Tribolium castaneum: one gene and its partners. The protein of the gene in region 2 purifies or fractionates together with the protein of the main gene of each other region. This does not show direct contact. Links are inferred from orthologs where the notes say so. Each region holds a gene or a part of one and is shown on either strand. Other genes may lie near its edges. The genes, in order: Fbl6, SkpA and F-box/LRR-repeat protein 16.

Evidence for each region.
Region 1: the proteins of SkpA (region 2) and Fbl6 purify together in Homo sapiens (affinity purification with mass spectrometry; 6 studies listed by BioGRID and IntAct, with this or other methods). This does not show direct contact. The link is inferred for Tribolium castaneum from reciprocal best matches to the Homo sapiens genes SKP1 and FBXL6.
Region 3: the proteins of SkpA (region 2) and F-box/LRR-repeat protein 16 purify together in Homo sapiens (affinity purification with western blotting; 5 studies listed by BioGRID and IntAct, with this or other methods). This does not show direct contact. The link is inferred for Tribolium castaneum from reciprocal best matches to the Homo sapiens genes SKP1 and FBXL16.

What each region holds. Positions count from the first base shown.
Region 1 is NC_087400.1:61,254-65,015, forward strand, and holds the start of Fbl6 (F-box/LRR-repeat protein 6), read right to left. Parts: upstream 2,689-3,762; 5' UTR 2,528-2,688; intron 2,190-2,527; 5' UTR 2,094-2,189; intron 2,009-2,093; exon of another isoform or gene 2,008-2,008; 5' UTR 1,943-2,007; coding exon 1,762-1,942; intron 1,684-1,761; coding exon 1,239-1,683; intron 1,102-1,238; coding exon 944-1,101; intron 888-943; coding exon 718-887; intron 665-717; coding exon 539-664; intron 484-538; coding exon 316-483; intron 272-315; coding exon 52-271; intron 1-51. Other genes in the region: uncharacterized protein LOC661447, read right to left, coding at 3,167-3,762.
Region 2 is NC_087402.1:1,039,145-1,041,349, forward strand, and holds SkpA (S-phase kinase-associated protein 1), read right to left. Parts: upstream 1,255-2,205; 5' UTR 1,177-1,254; coding exon 688-1,176; 3' UTR 595-687; downstream 1-594. Other genes in the region: uncharacterized protein LOC103312555, read left to right, coding at 1,539-1,541, 1,773-1,912, 1,961-2,035, 2,083-2,205. UniProt on the Homo sapiens protein: Essential component of the SCF (SKP1-CUL1-F-box protein) ubiquitin ligase complex, which mediates the ubiquitination of proteins involved in cell cycle progression, signal transduction and transcription.
Region 3 is NC_087394.1:25,647,131-25,650,892, reverse strand, and holds part of F-box/LRR-repeat protein 16, read left to right. Parts: intron 1-1,338; coding exon 1,339-1,630; intron 1,631-1,681; coding exon 1,682-1,877; intron 1,878-3,702; coding exon 3,703-3,762. UniProt on the Homo sapiens protein: Substrate-recognition component of the SCF (SKP1-CUL1-F-box protein)-type E3 ubiquitin ligase complex.

The DNA of each region.
Region 1 (3,762 bases), on a different chromosome or scaffold from region 2:
TAAAGTTAAATTAATTTTCAACAAACAACACAATTTGTGTTAAATACCTACCACTCAAAAATAAATGTTCGAGATCCCATGCGGGCACTTTAACTAAACCAGAGTCAGTTAAACGAATACACCCTCTAACATCTAACAAACGAAGTTTTGTACTATTTTTTAGTATCCTTTCAATTCCGTCATCGTCAACAGATCGAGAAGTGGTCGTTTGGTCTTCTTCCAAACCGGCCAAAGACAACTCCTCCAAAAGCGGAAATCCAGGAGAGGCAACCTAATAATTTCCAATAAAAAAAATCCTACTTTAATTTTACAAACCTGATCAGTCAAACTAGCTGGTGCCAACCAAATTTGACTATTCGTAATACGCAAAACTCGCAATTTCGGACAACCAATTTGTAATTTTTCAACATGTAAAAGTGCGCTGTTGTGAGCAAAGGTTCGAATGTTGGATATATCTAAAAGCTGGAGATTTGGACAATTTGCCTAAAAATAAAACCAATTAGAAAATGATTCATAAATAATTAATGAAAACTTGTACAGCAATTGACGCCATTATTTGAGTAAAACCCGCCATTTTATTATGAGCGAGTACCAAATGTGTCAAACGACTGCTCATCGTTTGCCCCATTGCTACCAAAGGTTGAGAATTAATTGCCGATGTAGACTACAACCAAAAAAGTATTATTATTATTATTATTATTTAATAAATTATATTACGTTAATTGACGACAAGTCTAATCGTTCCAGTTTTTTACATTCCGTTGTTAAATATTTCAAATTATCGGCGTTAAGGCCTTTCCAACCACTCAAATTGATGCCCTGAAGTTCAGGACAATTCGTACAGAGAGCTTCGATTGCAATTTGTATATCACGAACCTTCCATTCACCTAAATACAAGATTAGAAAACAAGAAAAAACATTTTCGGGGGTATATATTATTTACCCAAATTTAAATCTTGGCAACAAGACAATCGATTATAAATTAACCAATGTAATTGCAAATCAGTCCTGAATGGTTCTTTTACATAATTCAAATCGACTTTGTTCCACAACGAAGGTGTCAAAGCCACGTTTCGCCACAGTTTACACACTCGACATAATCTAGGGAAAAAAAAATTAAATACCCGTCACTGAATTTTCTATTGTTACTATGGCAATTTATTACCATAGTTACATACAATTTCTATGACACCCCACGCATATGTGCGACTCGTTAAGGATTAAATTTTTTATTTTACCTCACTAGATTCGGCAAACATCCGTCTTGAAAGCAAACGTTTTGAAAAATTTTATACAACACATTTTCCGGTACGTGTTCACCCCAAACGCTTTGCTCTTGAGGCTCCTGATCCTGAGTGCTCGTTACGTCACTCTCATTCTTACTTTTCTTTGCTGTATATTCATAATCGGATACGTCCGTATCCGAAGTAACTTTTTGTTTTTTCCGTCTTCCGCTTTTCTTTTTATTCGGTGCACTGCTTAGTTGCACTTGTGCGGTAAAATTACTTTTTTTTATTCGTATTTTTATTGTGTTTTTATCGCCGCTTATCTGACTGTGATACATTGCGACGAGCGCTTTCCGAGGTCTACCTCGGCCCATTCCGCTTTTGCTGCGACTTTTCGACACTTTTTTTATGCTACTACCATTGTTACAATCAGTACTTTCCTCATGGCTACCACCACCTGGCGAATAAAAAAAAACACACTCAATTAACGAAAACTAGCGCTACCAACCTTGCACTTTAACAAGGTTGAGCGTACGTTTTTGTTTTTTACCCGTGCTAGTGGCGCCTTGATTTTGTTGTTGTACGTCGGTTACAAAATTTTTCACAGGACAAACATTATTGTTTGGTAAATGTTCGTAAATATCTCCGTTTGTTTCTGTTAAATTCGCCGCAAAAATCTCAGTCGGTATGTCATTGAAACAATCGGCGCCCGACATTGTGATTTTTTTCACATTTTTTTCTTTCAAGTTGGTAACCACATCATTGACGTACGAAAAAAAAACCTGAAAAAGTTTATTAATTACTATAGCAAACCGATCTAAGTACGGTCCTGTCGTAGATGGCGTACAACATTTTGATTGGAAAATTACCTTACAAAATGTGCAATTTGCACCGGTAGCTCAGATAGAAAGTTGTCTGCAGGCCATTGAGTGACTTTTTTCGCGTCTCTGACAAACTCGTCTACTGAAAAATCACAAAAATGTATTCAAAAACCTACTTGATTAAATGAAAAACAAACAAAAGTGTTCCAATTCAAAAGAGAAAAATTTGAATTGGGCGGCAAAATTCGTATCTAGTCCGCTCGTAAACAATCACAAATGACAGGAGAGAATACATTTCGGAATTTATACAAATTTACGTAAAAAGCAGCAAGTTAATGCGGAAATTTATCGAAATTCGACAATTTAGTGCACATTTAAATTTCTCTAGGCAGGAAAGAGGTCTCGATCGAGTTTTTTTCACTTCGTAACGGATCAGTCCCGACTTTGGTTTTTTCGCCCATTCAATCGTCAAACACTCACCTAAAACTCACAATAATAGTTGAAAAAACCACCACCAATCACAATCACATCACTATTTCGATGAGAAAATCAGTATTTTGGAAAACTTGGCCACTTTCTGATTTTAGTGTTGTTGACCTTGTTACTCAAGATGCAAACATTTTTATAGGTGGCGCTGCTATTGCCGGTGTTACAGGTTGCGATAATTTTGCGCCATCTATCGATGAACAGAGGGGAAAATAATTAATTAAATAAAAAAATAACTTATTTGAATAATGAGTTTATTTCAACAATTCTTATTCGTACAACTATGAATAGTAATCGAGAAAAATGAATAAAACATTTTTGTTAAATTCCAATTGTTTTATTGCTTTTCAAAATTTGGTGTGTTTTTGGGAAAATAAAAATGAACTAGTAAAAAAATTTATGGTACGTGATGAAAATAAGGGAAGCGTCCGATATGTGTCTTTTTTTCGTGTGAAAGTCGAGGCAAAGGCACGTACCCTAAAACCATTCCAAACAATTTAATTTATTTAGAGTACAATTATGAAAAAAAAGCAACATTATTAGATATATCAACATGAATAATCTCGTTAAAATTTGCAGAATAACAACAAGCTATAATAAATCACAGGATAGGGTAGGTAATAGAGAGGTCTTTTATTCCGCCGCCGCGCACAGCACATTGACAGTCCTAACTTTAACACCCGCTGATTCCACTTGTCTCAAACTTTCCGGATCCGCTTCCAGCATAATAATGCACATGAAACTCTTCCCAGTGGTCGCATCTTTTGGATACACCGTAATCGGCGTAAATTTCTCACACGTTCCATTCGCGTAAGCACACAATTGTTTGAAAATAATCGGATGTTGTCTTTTGAGAGACACTCCACGCGCTCTCAATTCCTTCAAAACATTATCAATACTCAACTCTTTGAGTTTCTTCGCTTCTTCGTTTCCTTCTTCGATCGAATTACAAGTCAAGATGAGAGTTTCGGGATTTTCCGGAACGGAGAAGAAAAAGTCTTTACTGAGTCGCATTTTGGCACAGCGAGACACCAATTGGCGTTCCCATTTGACGGCCCCTGTAGCTGGCGTTTCCGACACAACACACACGGAAACGTAAAGTACCATTTTAGTATCGGGATTATAAGTTTTGCACATTTGGACCAATTCAGAGTAGAGCTGTGGCCCCATCTCTGATGGGAGCAAGTCCGGCCAACGAACGTAAGTAAGTTCCCCCAAGTCGTTCAAGC
Region 2 (2,205 bases):
GCTGATGTACACTGACAAACAAACAGAATTGGCAAGAAACCAGGTCAGTGGTTTAGCTCGTAATTCGGGGTCCCTTTGTGACACTGAAGTTACGTGCCCAAAATGACACCTTAACGTCATAATCTCAATTTGCACACTACAAATTGAATTTCCTTAATCCTAACACAATTCCAGTTTAATGAGCCGTGATGATGATTGTGACTGCGACGTTTTGGAAACGAAACAGAAGCTCAAACACATCAAATGCAAAATTATTAAATTAATGAATGAACAACTATCCAAGTCGGAAAATTTCGTGGAGGATGAAATCAAGCGAAATGGGTGTTTTACCCGAGGGTTAGTTGTGGTTAAAAAGCTGCCAATTAATTGCGAGTTGTAGGTGTTGGTGGTCCTTGTGTTCCTCCAGGACGTGGCTGTACTTTTTAGGGTTTTTAACGATGATATTTGTAGCGGTTTTAATGGGGGCGTTTATGGGGGCCCGCATTTGCGGGAACGAGGCGGGGTCTTGCGATGATTATGGCGTATTTTAACACTTGTATACTATATTTTATCCGACACCTATTATAATTGGTTAAGGTGCAAATAAACAACCAGTTGGGTCGAAATGGCGTTTGATTTAAATAATCATATTACAATAAAACAATGAACGCAATTTTGGAAATAATCTTAAATAAAAAAAATACGAGTTTACTTCTCCTCACACCATTCGTTCTCCTTGCGCACTTGCTCCTCCTCGGAGGCTGTGAAGTCGTTCTTGATGTTGAAAGTCTTGCGGATCTCCTCGGGGGCCTTGCCCTTGATCATGTTGGCGACTGTCTTGCAAGTCACATCGAGCAGCCCCTTGATGTCCAGGTAATTCGCCGCCAGGATCAGCTCAAACAAAGTGCCTTGGTCCACTTTGAGAAAATCGGCGTCCCATGACGAAATATCATCCGTGCGTTTCTCCTTGTTCTCGTCGTCTTCGGGCGGTGGAGGATCATCTTTGTGATAAGTGGACCACTGGATAACTTTCTTCAAAATCGCCGAATTGACATTGGGGAGAGGCACCACTTCCTCTTCCTCCTCGTCCATCCCCAGGTCCTCCAGCATGGTCTTGATGGTCACTGAACATTTCGCGATCTCCACGTCCACCTCGAACGTTTCACCGTCGGAGGAACGCAGTTTAATATTCGGCATTTTTCACGGTTTTTCTTCGATGACAGAATATGACAATAGACGGCAATAATGGTGGATGACAGGTGTAACGCGCAAGCGTCCCCACACGGGCGCCAGATTCGAACCAATTGTTATAAACAAATTAATTCAAAACGAGTTATTGCAGCAAATACGCAATGACGCGGCAAAATTTTCATCAAAACACGTAGCGCGTTATTTGCCTCGGATAATGTAATATGGGAAGAGCCGCAATATAAAGCTTAATTGTGCGTTAAAATTGTTGCACTTGGTTTGCGCAAGACCCCGCTCTTGATTTAAAAGAGGTGGCCCAAGAATTTGGGAGCCAGATTGTCCGTCTTCACCGCCTGTCTCCAAGCCAAACAATGGTAAGTCTGTCTGAGTCGTCTTTTTTGATTTTCTCCTTATCACCCTCTTTCTTACACATTATTTTGAAATTTTTGCGATAACACTCTTTATTGCATAAAAACAACTAATTGTAACAATCTGACGCAACAATTGACCGAATCTTTATTACTTGAAAACTTCCAATTCTTATCTAACTTGACTTCTCAAGTGTTTTGGAGCAAAACACAAACAAATTGTTATCTGATTTTTAGGGTTCCACAACAATGAAAAAGTCCATTACGGACCACCGAATCACTTTGTTGTTATTCGTCAGCATTATTTTCCTATCTATTGAAATTACCCACGGGGCTTTGGTCAAAAACCCCAACTTGCTGAAAAAAAATCATTGCAGGTACTAATTACATAATATCAGGTTTATTTAATTAATTAATTATTTAAGGACACACATTTTTTCTCCCGTGTGCCGCGGGCAGCAAAAGCGAGACATTTTAAGCCGTCTCAGTGACGAGTACAGGTAGTCATTAAAACAATTAAAGTGCAAAAGTTTGATTCATTTGTTAGGGTGCCAGCCCTGGATTCCGATTTTTCGGGGATTGACCGGTCCCGCGATTTCCCTACAATCCTTAACAGTCCGAGTCTTTTCGGGGAACTACTGAAAAAAGCCATAGAATCGTCCCCCGAGTT
Region 3 (3,762 bases), on a different chromosome or scaffold from region 2:
TTACAATTTGTTAGTACAATTTGTTAAATTTGTAATTTATTTTTTTGTTAATTATTATGTTTATTATCCTTTAATCAAAAACAACCAAACTTCATTTAAATTTAAAATTTAGTTCTAAGAAATACTACTAAACAAATGTTGCACATATTTTTTTTATTTTTTAATAGGTAGAAAAACAAATGAATTTACAAGTGTGTCATCAATTAAAATGTTATTTTTCGCTCTAGTTACATCCAAATTTGAACAATGTTGCATTGTTTGGGGTCCGTAGTATTAATTCTATGTACAACGTTTTAAGGAAATAACAGTAAAGGTCAAGTCTCTACAATAGTTTTCCTCATAATTTATTACGTTTTTGTATATGGTTATGCGTTAATTGTGTCCCTTTTTTTCTACTACTGTATCGTCTACATTTATTTTTGTCCATTATAGACTATGTAATCACATTGACGTAATATGAAAGCAGCGAAAAATTTTGCGTCCAAATAACAATATCGTCCGCAGCATTTTAATAAAAATCGACGACGTCTCGACGTCATTAATAACATTTTTTTCCTCGAAAGCCCGCTGAACCATTTATCTTTATCGACACAACATTGTATTGATTTTGATTTCGGGGTTAAAACAGTGGAAAATCGGATTAGCGCAGAAATTATCAATTAGCACACAAAGATGCTATAAAATATAATTATCCGAACCATTGAGGTCGGAAAGGGCTGAATTACTTTGTGAAATCCTTTAAATCACGAGCTTAGAGCGACACAAGACTCTTATTCCCAATTTATGTGAGATAATAAACCATTAGTTCTTTTACGGTACGGAAGCTGTTTGTTCACAGCATTTCAAAGGTCATTATATTGTTTACCTTTTGACCTTTGGGTAGGTATCGGAAATAAGAGACGCGAGCTTCGATTTAAGGGTGAAAGATTGTACATCAGTTGAAGCTGTTGCTAGGTGAGAAAAACGGAAACAGCCTTTTGTAGTTTTGTTTTTGTTCCAGTGATTCGAGTAATTCTCTCGTAAATTAGCCTAGGATCGATTTGTTAACCATGAAACTATCTCCTTAATTACGAGCAAACAATGCAATAAATTCTCTTCAAATGCAAATCAAGAAAAAGTTATTTGTTTCATTATCTGGAAAAATAAAACTCCAACACTCAACACTAATTAAAACTTTTCCAACTTATTACATTTTACTAAATAATTTCTTTACGTTAAAAAAATGTCGTGTCGAAATGCTACGCTATTTAACTTTCTCAGATCGATAAAATTTCCATAATAAACCAACGATTTCAGTCCGAATTCTCAGTGTTTTAAACCGAAAACTCTGTATTCCAGGCGCTCTACGAATTGGAACTAGCAGGCTGTAATGAAATAACGGAGGCTGGTTTATGGGCCTGTCTGAATCCTAGAATCGTCTCTTTGACACTAAGTGACTGTATAAATGTTGCCGATGAAGCTGTAGGCGCTGTGGCTCAACTCCTCCCTGCATTGTACGAATTCTCCCTCCAGGCCTACCATGTCACGGACGCCGCTTTAGGTTACTTTTCGCCAAAACAAAGCAACTCACTCAATATCCTCAGACTGCACTCGTGTTGGGAAATCACCAATCACGGAGTTGTAAATATTGGTAACATACTCTCATTGAAAAAAAAAACAATTTTAAAAAATCAATTTGCAGTTCATTCTCTCCCGAATCTAACGGTCCTCAGCCTCTCCGGATGCAGCAAAATCACCGACGACGGCGTCGAACTCATAGCTGAGAATTTACAAAAATTGAGATCGCTCGACTTGTCGTGGTGTCCTCGAATCACCGATGCTGCCTTGGAGTATATCGCGTGCGATCTCAACCAATTAGAAGAGCTTACACTCGATCGGTAACCAAACAAATTATAAGCCACAATTTCATTTAAACACAACGCAAAACTAGATAATTACGACAAAAATTACCTTACTTTAAGCTAAAAATTCATTTATTAAAAGTATATCTCTATATCTCTAAAACTAAGAACCACACAAAATTCAGCGTTTGCTATTCAACACTTTATATTTCTCCCTGTGCCTGTGAATTTTTTAAAAAAATTTCTACAATTCCTTATATTTCAAATTAATTAAATATATGAAACACTAAAAATAACTGTATAACCAACTTAAATTCAAATTTCCACAGCCTGATGAGATATCATTTAATTTGAAAGAGTATATATTTTTTAATTTGTTTTCCTTAGCAACGGTATCGATTATTGCTCTTTTGTTTTCTAGGTTATTGAATTTAATTTATTGTTGAAATTACAAGTTTTTAATTGTTTTGCACATCATTATACATTAATTGTTGTTTTTTTTAATTTGTATTTGTTTAATGTTGCAAGAGCTCGCTAACGAAAGTCAAAAAGTATGATATGAAACAAAAATTAACTTAAAAATTTAAGTTTGAAGACCTAAATCTCGTGAAAGAGGGTTCAAACAATTTTTTGTCATAGGAACTTTTAATTCAGCACCCAAGAAATTGTACGGTACTTTTGAATCACCGTGTATAGAATTCAATTTCACTATTTTTTTATTTTTTTAATTCAGCTTGTAAGCATTTTAGCATTTCAGTCTCTTAATACGAGTATATTGATTTTTTATTTTAGACTGTGTGTTTCAATTATTAGTGTTTCTCATTTTCAGTATCTTCTACTTTCTAGGGAAAAATGCTAGTTGCAGACTAAATTACTTTTTAATGTTGTAATGTTTAAAGTAGTGTAATTTTTTTTTATAAAAAATAGATACAGTGAGTTCATTTTTTGGTTGAAAGAAATTCTTACAGAAAACGAACCAATTTTACACCAGCAAATTTAAAACAATATTTAAGTTAAACGATTAATTAACTTCTTTTTTTATCCCCTTAATTAAACGCTCGAATTTACTTCTCGAGTTTAAATCTTTACGGAGATAAAATACATCTAAGACCCTTATACAATAAATAACAATTTTTTTCAACAAGAAAATTTTTTACAAAAGATATTTCGTTTTGTTTGTTTTTGTAATAGAATGTTTTACAATAAAAAATATGTTTTTATTATTCCTGATGTAGGAATTAAAAAAATATATCGGAAAATACCAGATTTTAACACGTAATTTCTGTTTTTCCAATATTTTTTGCTTCCTAATTAAAGTAAGTTTTAACCTCATAAAACTCCAATCTGTATTAATTAATTATTTCTTAAGCATTTTAAGATGTTATTTTGTGCAAAAAATCCTAAAAGTAATTTTTCCCAATTTTTTATTTTTTAATTTTTAATTAAAAAATATTTAAATACATGCTGCGGTGGTAGATTAAGCTTATTATCAATTTTTTGTCCAAAACCTTGTTTCAGGATAACACTATAAATAATAAAATTTCCATTAGTTTATGTTTATTTTTACTGATATTACTGATATTAATTACTAGTATTAATTACTATTAATACTGATCTTAATATTTTTATAAATAACTCTATAAGGGAGGGTAAAAAATTCTGAAAAAATTCACTTGTGTGGAAAAAAACATTAAATATAAAGCAACACACCGTGATTCCTATGCGATTATTAGTTTTTGAGATATAGTAAAAAATACTTTTAGCAGAAACACTTGCATTGTGTTTAATGTATTTTTTAAAGTTGCAATAACTGGTGGCCACTGATCAAAACGCAATCCGCTTTATTCGCTTTATTTCACAGATGTGTTCACATCACCGACATTGGCATTGGTTACATTTCAACAATGTTGTCTCTATCTGC